Linked DNA regions of Tamandua tetradactyla. The protein of the gene in region 1 purifies or fractionates together with the protein of each later gene. This does not show direct contact. Links are inferred from orthologs where the notes say so. Each region holds a gene or a part of one and is shown in the gene's direction. Other genes may lie near its edges.

What was found.
Region 2: the proteins of HDAC1 (region 1) and GLI1 purify together in Homo sapiens (affinity purification with western blotting; 3 studies listed by BioGRID). This does not show direct contact. The link is inferred for Tamandua tetradactyla from reciprocal best matches to the Homo sapiens genes HDAC1 and GLI1.
Region 3: the proteins of HDAC1 (region 1) and CCT2 purify together in Homo sapiens (affinity purification with mass spectrometry; 4 studies listed by BioGRID and IntAct, counting the BioPlex papers as one, with this or other methods). This does not show direct contact. The link is inferred for Tamandua tetradactyla from reciprocal best matches to the Homo sapiens genes HDAC1 and CCT2.

What each region holds. Positions count from the first base shown.
Region 1 is NC_135328.1:193,616,648-193,621,924, reverse strand, and holds the start of HDAC1 (histone deacetylase 1), read left to right. Parts: upstream 1-2,008; 5' UTR 2,009-2,110; coding exon 2,111-2,159; intron 2,160-5,277. UniProt on the Homo sapiens protein: Histone deacetylase that catalyzes the deacetylation of lysine residues on the N-terminal part of the core histones (H2A, H2B, H3 and H4).
Region 2 is NC_135333.1:124,767,272-124,772,548, forward strand, and holds the start of GLI1 (zinc finger protein GLI1), read left to right. Parts: upstream 1-2,235; 5' UTR 2,236-2,345; intron 2,346-4,729; exon of another isoform or gene 4,730-4,803; intron 4,804-5,277. UniProt on the Homo sapiens protein: Acts as a transcriptional activator. Binds to the DNA consensus sequence 5'-GACCACCCA-3'. Regulates the transcription of specific genes during normal development.
Region 3 is NC_135333.1:138,142,161-138,147,437, forward strand, and holds the start of CCT2 (T-complex protein 1 subunit beta), read left to right. Parts: upstream 1-1,976; 5' UTR 1,977-2,148; coding exon 2,149-2,151; intron 2,152-2,812; coding exon 2,813-2,887; intron 2,888-2,987; coding exon 2,988-3,053; intron 3,054-3,721; coding exon 3,722-3,833; intron 3,834-4,160; coding exon 4,161-4,237; intron 4,238-4,340; coding exon 4,341-4,453; intron 4,454-5,271; coding exon 5,272-5,277. UniProt on the Homo sapiens protein: Component of the chaperonin-containing T-complex (TRiC), a molecular chaperone complex that assists the folding of actin, tubulin and other proteins upon ATP hydrolysis.

The sequences.
Region 1 (5,277 bases):
ACATTTTGAAAGGATGACTTTTACTACTCTATTGAGAATGAACTGAGCTAGTTGCCAATTTGTCAAACTGGAGAGATTTTGTGTGGACCTGCAGATTTCTGAGTTCTCTTGAAAAATAGGAAGATGTGCCCACTTTGGACCTACCTGCCTCCATAGAGCTGAGCAGTAGCCTCCCCCTTTAAAAAGTAGGATGTGAGAGCTCCCTTTTACCAGAATCTCCTCCACTCCTTATTGCTCCCAGACAATAAAATGGTGTATTAGCAGCTGTTGTTCCTATAATAAAGAGGAAAATGAATTTTTTGTCTATATCATTTAAAAGTGAGAAAAGAAAAGATATCTGAAGATAGCAGTGTGTTTGAAGAAAGATGGGGGAAGGTATATTTCTTTATGAAAGTGAAGACTAGTTCAATTCTCAAAATATGCAAAGAGGAGCTGCTGAGTCAAAATAATAAAATCCATTCATTTACATCACCTGCATGACCTCTTTAGACATCTGAGTTTGTGTCTGTATTTTTATAAAGTGCCGCCAACTTCTGATCTCATTTGATCTCCATCCTTCTCCTGTGTTTGGACATAGTCAGTGAACTTTGTATTCTTATCCTCCCTATTTTATGAAGAGGGAAATGGAAGCCCAGAAAGGTTAAGGTATCCACTCAAGGCTAGCCAGGAACTAGCAACCTAGAACTTGCAATAGGATTTGTTCCTTGGCCTTTCCCATGTTTATAACACCATGGCCCAGTCTTAGATCTCCACTGTTACCTTTCAAATTAATAGCCCAAATGCAATCCCTAAGTGAGGAACACATGTCCTCGAGCATTCTTTAAATGTAAAGAGGCATAAAAATGCATCTTAATGACTATAGGACCACTAGTAAGTTAGCATAATGCTTGGCACATGGTAAGCACTCACTAAATATTAATATTTTCATAGTCGTTATTTTAATAACTCAGAACAGTGTTTTTCAGTCTCTTAGCTTGCAATAATAACTGATTGATGATGGATTAGTCTATTGCAGTGGTTCTCAAGAGGATAGTGGGGTGATTTTTAACATCAGCTTCCCCTAAGGAGACATTCAGCAATACAGGAGACATTTTTGGTTGCCACAGCTAGAGGCAGGGGGCAGGGAAGCTGCTCCTGGTATTTAGTGGTAGAGATTAGGAATGGAGCTAAGCATTCTAGAGTGCACAGGACTGGCCCCTACAACAAGGAAGTATCTAGCACAAAATGTCAATAACTCCTAGATTGAGAAACTCTGCTCTAGTGTAAGAACGTAATCCAGCTTCCTCCTGTCTAAAGACACTCCTTAGTCCTCCTGGCTGATTTAGGGAAGTAGGCTTTGGACTCACAATGACTGGCTTCTGCCACTTTGTTACAGTGCCTTTGACACATAGTAGGCGTTCAAAACACCTATACAGCTGAAAATTGAATTCACGTACTAATTGTGTGACTCTGAGCAATTCACAAATGTCTGACTTTCATTAATCCTAACTGTAAAATGGGGATTAAAAAGCCCTCTTCCGGAGTTTTTCTGGGGAGTAACTGAGTCAACGTCAGTAAAGCTATTGCACAGTACTTGGCCCATAGCGGGGGCCTCCACAAACATTAATTTTCTTTCCCTTACTTGTCTATTTCTTCCTCCTTCAATGCATTTTCTAATCTAGTCAGTCCCTTCATTAAACTGGGTGACCTTGTGCAAGTCACTTTTCCTCTGTAGGCCTCAGTTTATTATCTGTAAATTACAAAGTTGACTTCTCATCTCCAAGCATACTTTCAACAACAAAATAACACTGTGAAGTTACCGACCTGTCTTTCTCCCCCGGGACTAATGGTACAGTCCCCAGGCTCCCCACCCCCCTGTTGAGGACCTTGGTACAGGCCCAGGGGGCCCTCGGCTGCTACTCCGGGCTGCCCTTACCCCCTGCCGAGTTCCGGGCCCGTCCCCGTGCGAGCTGATTGGCTGGAGTGGTGCCCGGGCTGCGCCGCTATAGGTGAGGGGGACGGGCGGAGCGGGTTGGAGGCCCGCCCTCTCTCCCCTGGGACGGTCCCTGAGCAGAGCCGTGGGCGAGAGGGCGGACGGACTGACTGACGGGAGGGACAGGAGGCAAGCAAGATGGCGCAGACTCAGGGCACCAGGAGGAAAGTCTGTTACTACTACGACGGTGAGCACCGTCCTCACGGCGGGGGCGGAGCCTGGGCTGGGCCGGGTCGGGGAGAGGGAGACTGAGGTCGAGATCTGAGTGGAGAGGCTGAGAGAGGCTGAGGCTGGCGGAGGCGTTGGAGGGAGGAAAAGAGTCGAGGCTGAGAGGGGAGGCCGAGAAAGGGAGGTCGAGACTGAGGGAGGAGGCTGAGAGAAGAAAGGAGGTCAAAGCTGAGAGGAAAAGGCGGTCGAGGCTGAGACCGGGAGAGGGTGGTCTGGGGTCAAGGCTGAGATAATCTCAGGGGCAGGCTTCTGAAGAAGTCCGATGTGGAGAGTTTGAGTAGGGCTCCTGGAGGGGAGGCTGAGTCTGAGGGAGGAGGCAAAATCTGATAGAGAAGGTAATAAGGATAGATTTCCCTGCTGGGACTACACATGTCTTTGACTGTTTCTTTTCTTCCTCACCGATTTTGGTGAGAATCCGGAGGGAATCGCCGGCTAGAGGTTACCTAGTATTCTCCCTCCCTCCCATCTCTGAGCCTGGCCTGTGGTTGCTACTGGGAAATAGGGTCCCTCAGGTTGGAAGAAAGATGCAACCTGTTAAAACAGGCTTATCCATTTAACAACAGTCTACCGAGCAGCTTCCTCTGTACTAGGTAGCATGTAGGTGCTGGGATGATCTAAGTCACACTTCCCATTTTCAGCTCGCGGTGTAAAAGGGGGGATAGACATTGACAGAGAATTACTCCCAAGTTCAGTGTTGGGATAAAGGAGAGCTCAGAGTGTTATGGGAGCACAGGAAGAGTCACCCAACCCAGCCTGGGGAGTCAAGGAGGAAGGTATCACCTCAGTTACGACCTGAAGAACGAGAATTTATTAGCCAGGCACAGGGAAAGCTAAGGTAACAACAAGTTTAGAGGCAAGACAAGGACAGCACCTTTGAAAAACAGCGAATATGTGTACAGTATGGTTGAGGCATAGAATTGGGGGCAGAGTATAGAAGGTGAGAAGCAGGGATTGAAGGTAATGAGGCTAGAGAAGTAAATGGGGACTAGATAATGAAAATCTAGGTGTGCCCTTCCAAGGAAGTTGAACTTTATTCTGAAGGCACTGGTGAGCTATTGAAGTTTTAAGGACATTACTGTCATAATCAGGTTTATGCCTTACAGATATCACTCTGGGGCAGGAAATAAGTTCATGAATGTGTAGGGGTAAGAAAGAAGGTAAGGATTCTAAGTTTCTGGCTTGTGTAATTTGATAGTGGGTGTTTGGTGAAGGCTGTCTCAGTTGATAAATTTGTTTCATTTTTTTTTTTTAATGTAATACCTGTTGAGATGTCTGGTGGATAGCCACGTAGAGACACCCAGTAAGCCCTTTGTCCAGGTCTACAGTTTAGAAGACAGAGATGAGAAGGTAGAGATTTTTGGCAGCCATCCCATATACCTGGTGATTTTAGTCATAGAATGGATGTAGTCACAAGAAGTTATGTAGGATGAAAAGAAAAGAGGATCCAGAAGGGAATACTAAAAAGGAGCAACATTTAAAAAGTGGACTGAGGAACAAAAATAAAACACAAAAACAAAAGCCAAAAAAAGTGGACTGGGGGAAAGAAACCTAGTACCCCCCATCTCTGAATTCTCCTGACATTGCACTTGACACTGTGTACTGAAATTGTCGGTATACTTGTTATTATTTCTTGCAGACAGTAAGTTCCTTAAAGAAAGGAACTATGCCTTATCCACCTCTTTATCCTCAGTCCCCTGAACAGTGCCTAACTCACAGTAGACTCTGAATAAATGAATAATGACACAGAGGGAGTGGCCAGACAGGTTAGCAAACCAGAAGTCTTGGGTTACAAAAGCCCAAGGAGGGAGAGAGTGTTCAAATATTGGCAAGAACCGTTGCTGTGCTGTACACTGGGAAGTGAATAAGTGGGTGAAGAGGAAACATCAGATTAAACCCTTTTTGAGGGAAGCTTGTCTGGAGCAGGGAGAGAAGAATGTTGATAGAAGTGGTCATGTAGTGGCTGAGAGTTGCACATGTTCAAATTCTAATGGAAAAGAGCTGGAGAGAGAGAAAGGTTGAGGGTACAGGAGAGAATGGGGCTAATGGTGATGGAAGTTCTTGAGGAGACCAGGTGAGATGGAAACCAGAGCACAAGGAGGGGCACTATCCTTCAAGAGGAATTTCCTTTGTGACAGAAGGATAAGTGGCAAGAAAAAGTTCAAATATAGGTGAGTTTGAAGGGGAGAAGATAAGGAAGGTTGAGGGAATTCTCTGGATGAAGTAAGTGAATATTTATTTTCCTGAGAGCGAGGGAGGGCAAATGATAGAGTAGGAATCTTGAAGAGAGAGAAGATCTGAAGTAGCTGTTGTGAAAGAGAGTAGAGGAATTGTAAGAATTGTTGGGCAGTGGTGAGGCCCATTAGAAGCTAGAGCCTATGACTTGATAGCTACCTCAGTTTGCATGGTTTTGTGATCACCACACTCTTGATTTAAAAGAAGAGAAAGTGGAAAGAGCTGAGTCTTTGGAGAAGAAAGCAAACTCGTTACTTCTTAAGAAACTGCTTGTGAATTTTGCAGTGAGGTCATTAGATTGTGAATCAGATTTGGATCTGCCACTGAGAAGCTTTGCAGTATTGGGCAGGTCAGTTTACCTTTCTGGGCCTCAGGTCACTCCCCTTTAATGCAGAAATAAAAGCAGTTCCTGTTATAAGAATAGTGATGGACCATTCCTTTAAAATTTAAAGTAATATCTAAATAAAAAGTATTATTTCCCCTATTCTTTTCCATAAAGTCTCTCAGCAACCTATTTAAAAGCTGTTAGGGGCAGTGTAGGACAGTGGCTCAGCAGGCAGAGTTCTCACCTGCCATGTTGGAGACCGGGGTTCGATTCCGGGTACCTACCCATGCAAAAAAAAGAGTTGACTCCCAAATCACTTGTTAGCTATGTGATTTGGGGCAGGCACGTACTTCCTTTGAATCTTAGTTCAATTCACTGAATCTTTGTGAGCCTCTGTGATGTACAGGGCATATTTGTCATTGCCTTCAAGTAGCACCAGTCTTGTGAATATAGATAGATGTAAATAACTCAGATACTAAATGAAATTAAGTGCTATATACAAATTGAATGCAGAGGAAAA
Region 2 (5,277 bases), on another chromosome or scaffold:
GGCAGAGGGCCCAGCAGGCCTGAGGCAGGGGAAGCAGGTTGACCAAGGGTAGGGATTGTTGAAGTGCTTTAGGGAAGGTTAAGAGGGAGAAAGACAAGGGGTTGAGGGACAGTGTTTAGGAGAGCCCAGAAATGGGAGTCAGGAGGGAGGGGTGCTGAGCCCCAGAGAAGTTCCCTGGTTTCCCCTGGGGGGCAGGGCCCACTGGGGAAACAAACATTTATACTTTCCTAATAAAAAAGAGAAAAACAAAAATGTACAAGTATGAGTCATGGAGAAGGGATAGCATGATGGGCCTGAGTTACGGCTCTCAAAGTACAATCTGGGAAACCTCGAGGTGGCTCTGAGACTTTTTCTGGGGTGTCCACAAGGTCAAAACTATCATCCTAACAATGCTAGGATGCCTTTTTCATTCTCGTGATCTCAAAAACGTACAGTGGAGTTTTCCAGAGGTTGCTTGACATGTGATTACATCATCGTTCTGATGTCGTTGTTGGTGGAATGAGTGCTTGCATATCCTTGTGTTAAAGATTTTCCAATTTTGATTCTAATTTGGTAAATTGATAGATATAAGCCACATAAACAAAATCTCAATAATTTTTAAGTGTGTGAATCCTGAGACTAAAAAGTTTGAGAACCAATGGTCTAAAGTACTGGGTGGGGAGGTGAAAGCCCTATGTGCAGAGAGAGTGCTCCCTTGGAGGAAGGGCATGGGGCTGGGGTGGGAGCACATGTAGGGATCACATCCCTTCCTTTGCGTTGACCATTTCTCTGGCCTGACTGAACTGGGTCCCTGATCCTTTCAGTATAACCAGAGCCTGGGTCAAAGTCATGTGGGGGAGGGAGGCTCAAATAGAATGCCAATCTTTCCTTCTGCCCCCATAATTACTACCTATCTTTGTAGGACCCCAACCTCTCCCTGGCTTCCTTTACCCCAGAATCCTCAGACCAAACCAGTAACCCGCTGACCCTCCAGGCCCAAGGAGGTCGTCCTTAGAAGCAGAGCTCAGGTGTGGAAGTCTGTCTGGGGGGTGACAGAAAGGAGAAGGAACTCTTTCCCCCCACCATGTTTTCTCCCCTTTCTCATAAAGGTAAGAGACTAAAATAGCTGCCCCTTCCCCTGCATCTGATCACCATGGCAACACAAATCCAAAGGGGCAGGACACTCCTGTTCAGTTCAACACTACTGCTCTGCACTAGCAGCTTCTGCCTGCCAGTGTGTCCCTCTGCTTCTTTGGGCTCGAATATCCCCCACCCTGAGCTCCTACCTGGATTTTGGGTGGGTGGTGGAGGAGAGCAAGAGAAGCCTACTACTCCTTAGGTTCCCGGAGTTTCACTGCTTCTCCAACAGACTCTGAGAAGATGTCATGTGCCAAAAAGGCCAGCAGAGGGAGCAGAAAACCCTGAAGAAAGGAAAGAGAAAGCAAGCAGTTGAGACGAGCAGAGGTGATGGTAGTCTCCAGAACTTCCAGATGAAGAAGATCAGCGGTTCTTGGGGAACAGTACCTCAGGCTCAGGTTCCCTTAGTGGCCTTGTGAACACACACTCTGCACCCAGAACCTCCCCAGTCGCTGTTTCCCTCTTTTATGCACCCCTCACCATCCATCCAGGGTTCCCAACCCCTCAACCCTTTCTCGAACCTCAACTGTCCTAACCCTTCCCAATTCCTTCCAAAGGGTGAGACGGGCATATAAACCACAGCAAGGCAGAATGCTAAGTTAGCACCTATCACAGTCGACGACCCTACTTCCAATACTGTCTTTCTCAAATAACTTTTTCTTTGCCCCCACTGCCCCCTAATAAATTTCCCAGTCTGTTTTTCTGATCCTGGTTCAGGGTCTCTCCGTGGGCAGCCGATCCAAGGATCCATACCGGGATTTACTGCCCACCGACAGAAGCGTGTTCCGCGGGGGGGGGGGGGTGAGTGCGGGGGGGAGGCAGTATAGGGTCCCTTGAGGGAGGGGGAGGATCCTGGGGGTCCTGGGGGTGCAATAAGCCCGGCACCCCCACTCTCCCTGCCAGCTACCCCGCCTCATCTTCCAGAACGGCAGGAGGGAGGGAAATAGGAGGGAGGTGAGGGGCGAGCGGGAAGAGCCGCGGCGCGCCAGAGGCTAGAGCGAGAAAAAGTTTTTGCAAAAGGAAAAAAAAGTTTGCGCTTCTCGCGGGTGGTCCCGACTCGAGGCCTGGCGGGCTGGGCCGGCGGGAGGGCTGGGGGCCAGGTTGGGGGGGTGGGGGTGGCACTGAGGCTGCGCCGCCGTGGCCCTGTCCGCCCCCCCCTCCCCACCGCACACCCCCAGCCCAGACTCCAGCCCTGGACCGCGCATCCCAAGCCCTGCGCCCAGACGGAGGTGAGAAGGGGGGCAGGCGGGGGACCACCTGGGACGGTGGGGGGAGGGGGCCTGAGGGGATGCTCTGTTTCCGAGGGATTGAGATCAGCCGAGAGGGACACCTGGGGCACAGAGGCAAAATGGGGGTGGGAGAGTCTGGGGTGAGATATTAGAAAGTTTGGAGAACTTTTTCATTTGTGGTTCCCTACACCCCCCCCCCCCCATTTCTCCCTTTTTTTTTCCGTGACTGACAGTCAATGTGTCTGTCTCAAGCAGCTGTGGGTCTCTTTGTCAGCCTGTGTCTCTCCCATGTATTAGAAACATCTCACTTTTATCACGTTGAGATGAAGGGGCTGGAGGCACGGCTAACTAGAGGTCTGCGCCCTAAAGAGAACTCCAGGTGTGTCTCTGAGCTCTGGGCAGGAAGATGTCAGTGTCTCTGAGAGGAGGGGACAGCGAAGGAGGGAGCCCTAGGTGGATGGGGATGGGGGTGCATGTGGTAAGAGGACCAAACCACTGGGGAGAGGGTTAGTTGGTTTGAACCCCTGACCTGTCTTGTGACAGATATGCCCGTAGGTGCATGTGTTTTAGGGGAAAAGTGTCTTTTGAGCTAGGAAAGGAGCTGGAGAGATTCTGCCCAGGTTGTCTTGTCTAGGCCTTAGAAAGATTGCCGAAGAAATTTGGGCTCCTGAGTCCCAAGGGCTGTGGGCAGGGCGCTAAGGAGGAGCTCAGAAGACCTTGGCTTGACCCTCTGTCCTCAGGACCACCAGGGCAGCTAGGGCCAGCCACAGGGAGACCCCTACTGAGGATGGGCGGGACCACTGGCCACTGCCAGCCTGAGCATCCCTGTTGGCTACACACACACACACACACACACACACACACACACATGCACACGCCCAAACAGGAGCTAGGAAGGGAAGCCCCTCCTCCGATTCAGACCACCCTGCCTGCCCTTGCTCCCCTCTCTGAAGTCTCTTTCAGGCCCCGTGACCCCGAAGCAATCCGCTCTGGGAGCTAGCTTCGGGGGCAGGCCTAGGGAAGGGGGACCCCATGGATTGTGGAGTGAGGGTTTTAGCGGCCTGGAGAACTGAGGTCTTCATAGGATAGGTCTTTATGCCCCAGAAGAGAGAAGGCGGGGCGATCTCACCGGGGAGGCAGAAGGGTTGGAATAAGAGTGGTTTTCCCTAGGGGGGCGGGGTCCAGAGACCCCCTCCCCATTATCTCTCTGGCATCCCCGCCTAGCGGCGCAGACCCCGCCCTTGACGTCACTAGGGGGTTCCCAGGGGTCTGGAAAGAGTTAACCCTTGGGAAGCCGGCTGGGATACCGGGAACCTAGGGGGTCTCGAACCCTCCTCCCATACACATCTTTTTTTATTTGCCCGCTCATTTTCTCTCCCAGCATTTTCTGGAATCTTTCTTCCCCTCCCTGCTAAGGGGACCCCCATTCTCCAATGGTGTCCCCCCAAGGCGCTGTGGCCTGCTTTCTGGATGCACTGAGGGGAGGAGGGAAGAATGTGTCCCGCCCCTCATCCCCACCGCCCCCTCCACTACGGTTCGCTCGACTGGGCTCCCGGGGCGGGCGGGGGAAGCTGAGCCGTCTGCAGCCAGAGCCTGCGGCGGCGACTTGGGTGGGCCGAGGAGGCACGGGGGCGGGAAAGGCGGGACCGGGAGGAGGCGGGGCGGGGCCGGCTCCTCCGAGATGGGGGAGCGGAGGTGCGAGGGGGATTCTGGAAAATAGGGAGACACAGAAGATGATTTGGGGTTCCGGCAGGGAACCTGGGGCTCCCTGTCCCATTCCGCACTTTCACCCACACCCCAGGAAAAAGCTTTGCTGAAGTTGGAAAAGTTGGCGAAATTTTCCTTCCACTAGAATGAAGGAGAGACGTGGGTGGGCTGCAGCACGGTGGGCCGGAGGGATGTCGCCCCTTTCAATAGCGGTTCCCGGGTTGCTGGGCAGAGGGGCAGGACGATGAAAGAGGACGTGTTTGGGGGAGTCTCTCAAGTGTTTGGGGGGTCATTTGCGAGCCGCCTCCTTCCCCTGGGTGAGTCATAGAGGAAGGAGGCGGGAGAAGTGCCCCCCCCCGTCCAGCTGCCAGCCAGCTGTGCCCCCCCCCCCAGAGCTGCCCTCCCCCGCCCCCAGTTCAGTGCCAAGATCGAGTTGGGAGGTCTTGGATGCGGGATCCGGATCTCGGCTGGAAAGGAGTTGGGAAGGGTATGGCCCAGGCTGCGGGGTTTGGGCTGCGTCGTGGGGTCCGGGTTCCGCTCCCCGTTTTACCCCGCCCTCACCCTAAATCCCGGCATCCTGGGATCACCCACCGCGCGGGCCGGCCCGCTCCCGGTGGTTCTCCACCCCACCCCGCCCCACCCCACCCTCAGTCTCGGGAGACCGGAAAGCCCGGGATGGACTACAAACCGGGAGTTTAAGTAGAAGAGCAGACAACAGCGCCCTCTCCTCCCTTACAACGCCTCTCTAATGGTTGGTGACTGTTTTTTCATTCTCCCAAAGGCTTCTTTCACAAGTCCCTTTTCTGTTCCCCCCAGAGACCAAAGGGGTTAAGTGGGTGCCCATATGTAAGTGGCCCCAGAATAACACCAGTTTCCATCCCATGAACCCAACAGACATGTTGGGATGCCTTTCCTACTAGTAAACACAGGTTTGCCTAAGAGGGAGAGAAGTGGCTGACTGGTGCTTCCGCCTGGCTGCCCCAGCTCCCTCGCTGGACTGTGGCTAGGGCTCCCTCTACTGGACCCTGGAGAGATTGTAGACGGCTGTCCCAGGGCAGGGACAAGAGAAGCAAAGGGGCTGAGTTTCCTCATCCCACTTCTCAAAGCAGGCCCATGGCCAGGGCAGAAAGAAGAGTCCGGTGGCATTAACATCACTTGAAGTTCTTATAGGCAAAATAACCACCACCACCCCACCGAACACCCAGACAAAGCTCACACCTCATTC
Region 3 (5,277 bases), on another chromosome or scaffold:
TACATTCCGTGACTAAGCATGTAATCAATCTGTGCAGGCTCAATAATTAGATTACCTTAATTACATCATCTAGAGCCATTATCCTAAAACCTTTCCACCTTTTATTACTATAAAATTATCATAATTACTTCAGTTCAGAGATCAAGTTTTGGGGTCACTAAGCCATCTGTTCTCCTGCTTCATGCCTAGCATTAAACTCTTTCTCTCCTTGAAACCTTGGTGTCTCAGGAATAGGTTATTTCAGCCATCTGGTAGAAAATTCACCACTTTTGTCCGGTATCAGAGGAAGGGTCAGAAGACCCAATGGAGAAAAACAAATGTCTGAGAGTCTCTTCACAGGTGTCACTGTTGGCTGCCTTTGGCCTCAGCTCCACAAGGTAGCAGTAGCTGACTCCCAAGTCCCCACTGGAAGACCCTAGCAAGGAGGGTCCATTGGTTTCGCCATCATCGTTAGCCTCAGGCTTACCCTTCAGTTGACATAATATTAAATATTTCCCAATGTGTAATTTTGCCCACAATAAAAGTAGCCTTTTACAATATTATGCAGGCATCTTAGCTGCTCATTATAGTGACTCTTCTCATTCCAGAATGCAATTTGAGATATGCCCAATGAAGTGCATTTCCTTTTGAAAGACCAATTTTAACACACACACACACAAAACCCCAGAAAATTCTAGGTAGATTTTAAAAATTTACTCAGTTAGAACACTCCTTTTCAAATTGGATGTTAGGAATAGTGTTACCCAGGATTGGCAATATCTTCTGTAAAGGATCCCATAATAAATACCTTAGGCTTGACAGGCCACAAAGTGTCTACAGGACTGTGGAATAACTCACTCTGTCAATGTATTGCAAAAGCAGTCACAGACAGTACAAAAACGAAGGGGTATGCCTGTGTTCCAATAAAATTTTATGGACACTGAAATTTGAACTTCATGTAATTTTCACATCACAAAATCATTAAAAAAATTTTTTTCACAACCATTTGAACATGTAAAAACCATTCTTAGCTTTTGGGCCATACAAAAACAGGAGGCAGGCTGGATTTGTCTCCCATAGTTTGCCAAACCCTGGTGTAAACCCTCCCCATTTAAAGTGTATTGAAAGGCAGAAAGGCAATTTAAAATAGAAAATACCTGTCAAATGTAAGCAATTGTCAAAAATCAGGAGCTTGCTAAGCAACTAGCCAACAGAAGAAAAGTGGATAATAGCGGATGATAGAAAACCAATGGGTTTTCTTTTTTTTTTTTAACTGGCTTTATAGTCTTAGAGGTCATTTTGGGAAATAAGAATACTGTTTGTTTTTAAAATCTGAAATATTTGGCATTGATTTTTTTATCTTTACCAAGACATTATGTAAGAGTATGTTAGTCATCTCCACTAGTGAGGAGAAAAAAAAACGAATAAAATGCAAAGCCTTCTGAAAATGCGCAAAGATAAAGGACTCCAGAGTTCCCCGGACTGCCCTTTGGCGCAGTCATCTTCCAATTAGAAGCAGCGTTTTAAAATTCAGTGAAAGGAAAGTATGTGTTCCTTCTTAATACCTAAGCCATATTTTAAATTACAACAGCAATAAACATATTTAAGAATACGATGTAAACAACCAAAAAAAGCTGGAAAAGTTCAAAGGCGTTGCTTCTAGGAAGAGTAATGATGCAGTAGGAGAATTATGTTTTCCATGATTAGTATATGGCACTTTGCACTGTGTATGTTTACTTTAAAACAAATCATTAAAAACGAAATGTAAGAAAAGAAAACTGAAGGGCGGGCAAGAACCCCGTTGCTATGATAAATCCTGCGGCGCAGCGTCTCTTTGTCCTCAAGACGCCCACAGCCAAATCCGCCCGGCTCCACCCAGAATGCCAGACTCCTCCCTTCCGGGCCTGAGGGTGGTGCTGTAGCAGAGGGAGGAGCGTGGGCCGAGGCCCCGCCCCCTGCCGTGTAAAGACCTGCGCTTAAGTCTCGCGAGCCTCCACTCAAAACGTCCTCTTCCCTTCCTCTGCGCGCAGCGGCGTCTGGGGCGGAGCGCGGAGCCTGGTCCCGCCCCCTCCAGAAGAGCGTGTGGTGTCACTTCCGTGTCCCTCATCTTCTCAGTCCTCCCGCGTGAGCTGTAAAGGAATTAGCGGGCGTACTGAACTCTTTGGAGCCATGGTGAGTCCGTTTACCCCTGCTCTTGACCTGCTGTGTCCCGAGGTGGGCTACCGCCCGACTGCCCGCTCTCCTGTCCCAGCGCCGCGGGCTCCCAGTGCCTCTCTCGTGGGGCCGCCGCACATGGCGCGGGCAGCGGCGTGGGGCCTGCGTGGTGCCCACTGGTGTGAGTCCTCTACGCCGGGCGGGGAGAAGAGTAGGCCTCAAAGGTAACGCCTTATTCCGCGGCCTCCACAGTTCCAGAATTTCTGCCGCCCAGGCCTTAGCTCGAGCGAAGAAATTTCTAGTACACCAGGCTGGCTCTGCCCTCCCTCTTGGGGCGGGTCCAGGAGGTTCGAGGGTTGAAGATGGAGGCCTTGGCGGCATTATTCCCTCGCCTGCCGGACGATCCTCCCGAGGTGGTCTGCAGATCCCGACTTTCTTATTCGTAGTTTAAAATTATTTTTAGCTGTGCCGTACTTAACAGGCAGTTTCTTTGGAGTATAATTTAGTTTGGTACAGGTTTTGCAAGCTCCGCCTCACCTGTTCTGATGTAGAGCAGGTACACTGTGCTGTAAAATTTTTGCTTAGATATCAACTCTAAGTCTAGTGGAAGAACTCTGAACATACTGTGTTAAAGAGTACTGATAATTCAAATTATAGGTTTCTTGATTTTTCTTTTTAGGCATCCCTTTCCCTTGCACCTGTTAACATCTTCAAGGCTGGAGCTGATGAAGAAAGAGCAGAGACAGCTCGTCTGGTGAGCTTTGTTTTTTCTTCCTGCTTTTAAGAATAAAATTGTACTCTTCCTTTAAGACTTTAAAGGTGACTGATTCTGACATTCTCTGACTTTATTTCAGTCTTCTTTCATTGGTGCTATCGCCATTGGAGATTTGGTAAAGAGCACCTTGGGACCTAAGGGCATGGTAAGGAAAACAGGAATGTTTTTGTAAATTTTAATACTGTTTTAGAGTCATTGGTAGAGATATAGTTAATAACGATTAGTTTTTAAAATTTTTTTTATCTTTAAAACTTAGAATTATATAAGTAAGATATAAATATATTCTCACTAAAAATCAAAATAGTACCCATTCAAGTCTTGATAGAACACCTTCCCCAAACTTAGTCCCTTCCCCAATGGCAGCCACTGTTATTTTGATTTACATATTCTGGATATCTTTCTGTGTACTTAATGTGTGTGTTACACTTTTTCTGTAGCTTGCTTTGTGTTAGCGTAAGTAGATATATTACCTCCACTTTAACTGTCGAGAAGCAATTTGATTATTTTATAGTTTACTATGACTGTTGATGGACACTTCATCTGTTCCCCTTGTTTCAACTGTTACAGTGCTGAAACAAACCTTATTCCTGTCTCCCTGTGCTTTGTAGTGTTTGTAGGATTAAATGCTAGGGCTTTGTTTTGGGGTGTACATACTGAAAAAATTTGAGTAGATACATCAAAATAGCTAGCTATCCAGAGTGTTTATGCAGTAACAGTGTGTGAGAATACTAATTGACCCACTTTCCTCAAGATGTACCTCTGAAAAAAAAAATGTACCTCTGTCTTAACTTGGATCAAATATATTCCCTTTAGGATAAAATTCTTTTAAGCAGTGGACGAGATGCCTCTCTTATGGTAACCAATGATGGTGCAACTATTCTAAAAAACATTGGTGTTGACAACCCAGCAGCTAAAGTTTTAGTTGGTGAGTCTGAGGATAATATTGTTGTTTCATTAACATTTTAAGAAGCTTGTTTTTTAATAGGCTGTGTTAACTAATTGTACTTTCAGTTAATTGCCCACCACTTTTTACTGGATTGTTATTACTAAAACACAAGCTTCTAGAATGCAGTATAATTATTGGTGGTTAAAACTATTACATTGCAGACCTTAAAGTTCCAGAGACTGTCAGGTTAAGGAATCTTAGGTAAGTGAGATTTAGATTGGTAATTGATGTATTTGGAGCATTAAGCAATAGAGAAGTAATGCAAAAAGCAGAATTAGATATGAGTTAATAGATGATTTTTTTTAGATATGTCCAGAGTTCAAGATGATGAAGTTGGTGATGGCACTACCTCTGTTACTGTTTTAGCAGCAGAATTATTAAGGGTAAGAAAATAACTGCAACTTTAACTTTGTTTTGCTACTGTAGTTTAAATAGCAGTAATCACATCTTCACTATTGACAAGTGCTTTCCACTGTTTATTAATAGGAAGCAGAAACTTTAATTGCAAAGAAGATTCATCCACAGACCATCATTGCTGGTTGGAGAGAAGCTACAAAGGCAGCAAGAGAGGCTCTGTTGAGTTCTGCAGTTGATCATGGGTTGGTATACCAAAATACTACTATCTACTTTTCTACTCTTAAAATTTCGCATTCATTTATAACATGCTCAGCGTAGGAAATCTGGAGAGCACTGAAAGGTAAGCACAAACAGATGCTGCTGTCCTCCCCAAATAAAAAAAAACCCACATCATCCTCCAGTGATAGCCATCAACATCAAAGTTTAGATTTCTGGGGTTTTTTGCTTATATAATCAAAACAAAGATGCAAACAGAAAGCAAGTAGTATATTATATAGAGAGTTTTTAGCTTCTTTAACCTTGTTGAATACTAAGCACATTTCTAAATGTCAGATATTCTCAGCAGTATTAATTTTACTATAGTCATTTGATTTTTATGACTATGGTATAATTCACTCAACTTGTCTACGTTGAAAGTTTGTTGTTGTTGCCAATTTTTAGCTTTATAATAATGTGACAAACTTGTTACCAAGTAATTATGTTATTGCTGGGTCTGAGGTATATAGGTGTTTTAAGTCATTTTTATTTACATTATTAAATCTCTAGAAAATATTAGGTATATAACAGTGACTGTTTCCCTGTGTTCTTGACAGCGTGTGCGAATATGATTTGTTTCTTTTTCTTTTTTTTTGGTGAGGAAAATGGTACTTTTAATTTGCATTTCTTGATTATTGTTGAATTATTTTCAAATTGCGTACATTAAAAAATTAGAACACTTGCCATTTGGAGTGAGATTACCTATTTGACATAGGGTATCTGAATAAATTTTGAAAAAAGGAGTTGATATCTTTAGAGAAGCATTTTAAGAACAGATATGATATCCTTTTTTGTTTGTTTTTAGCTCTGA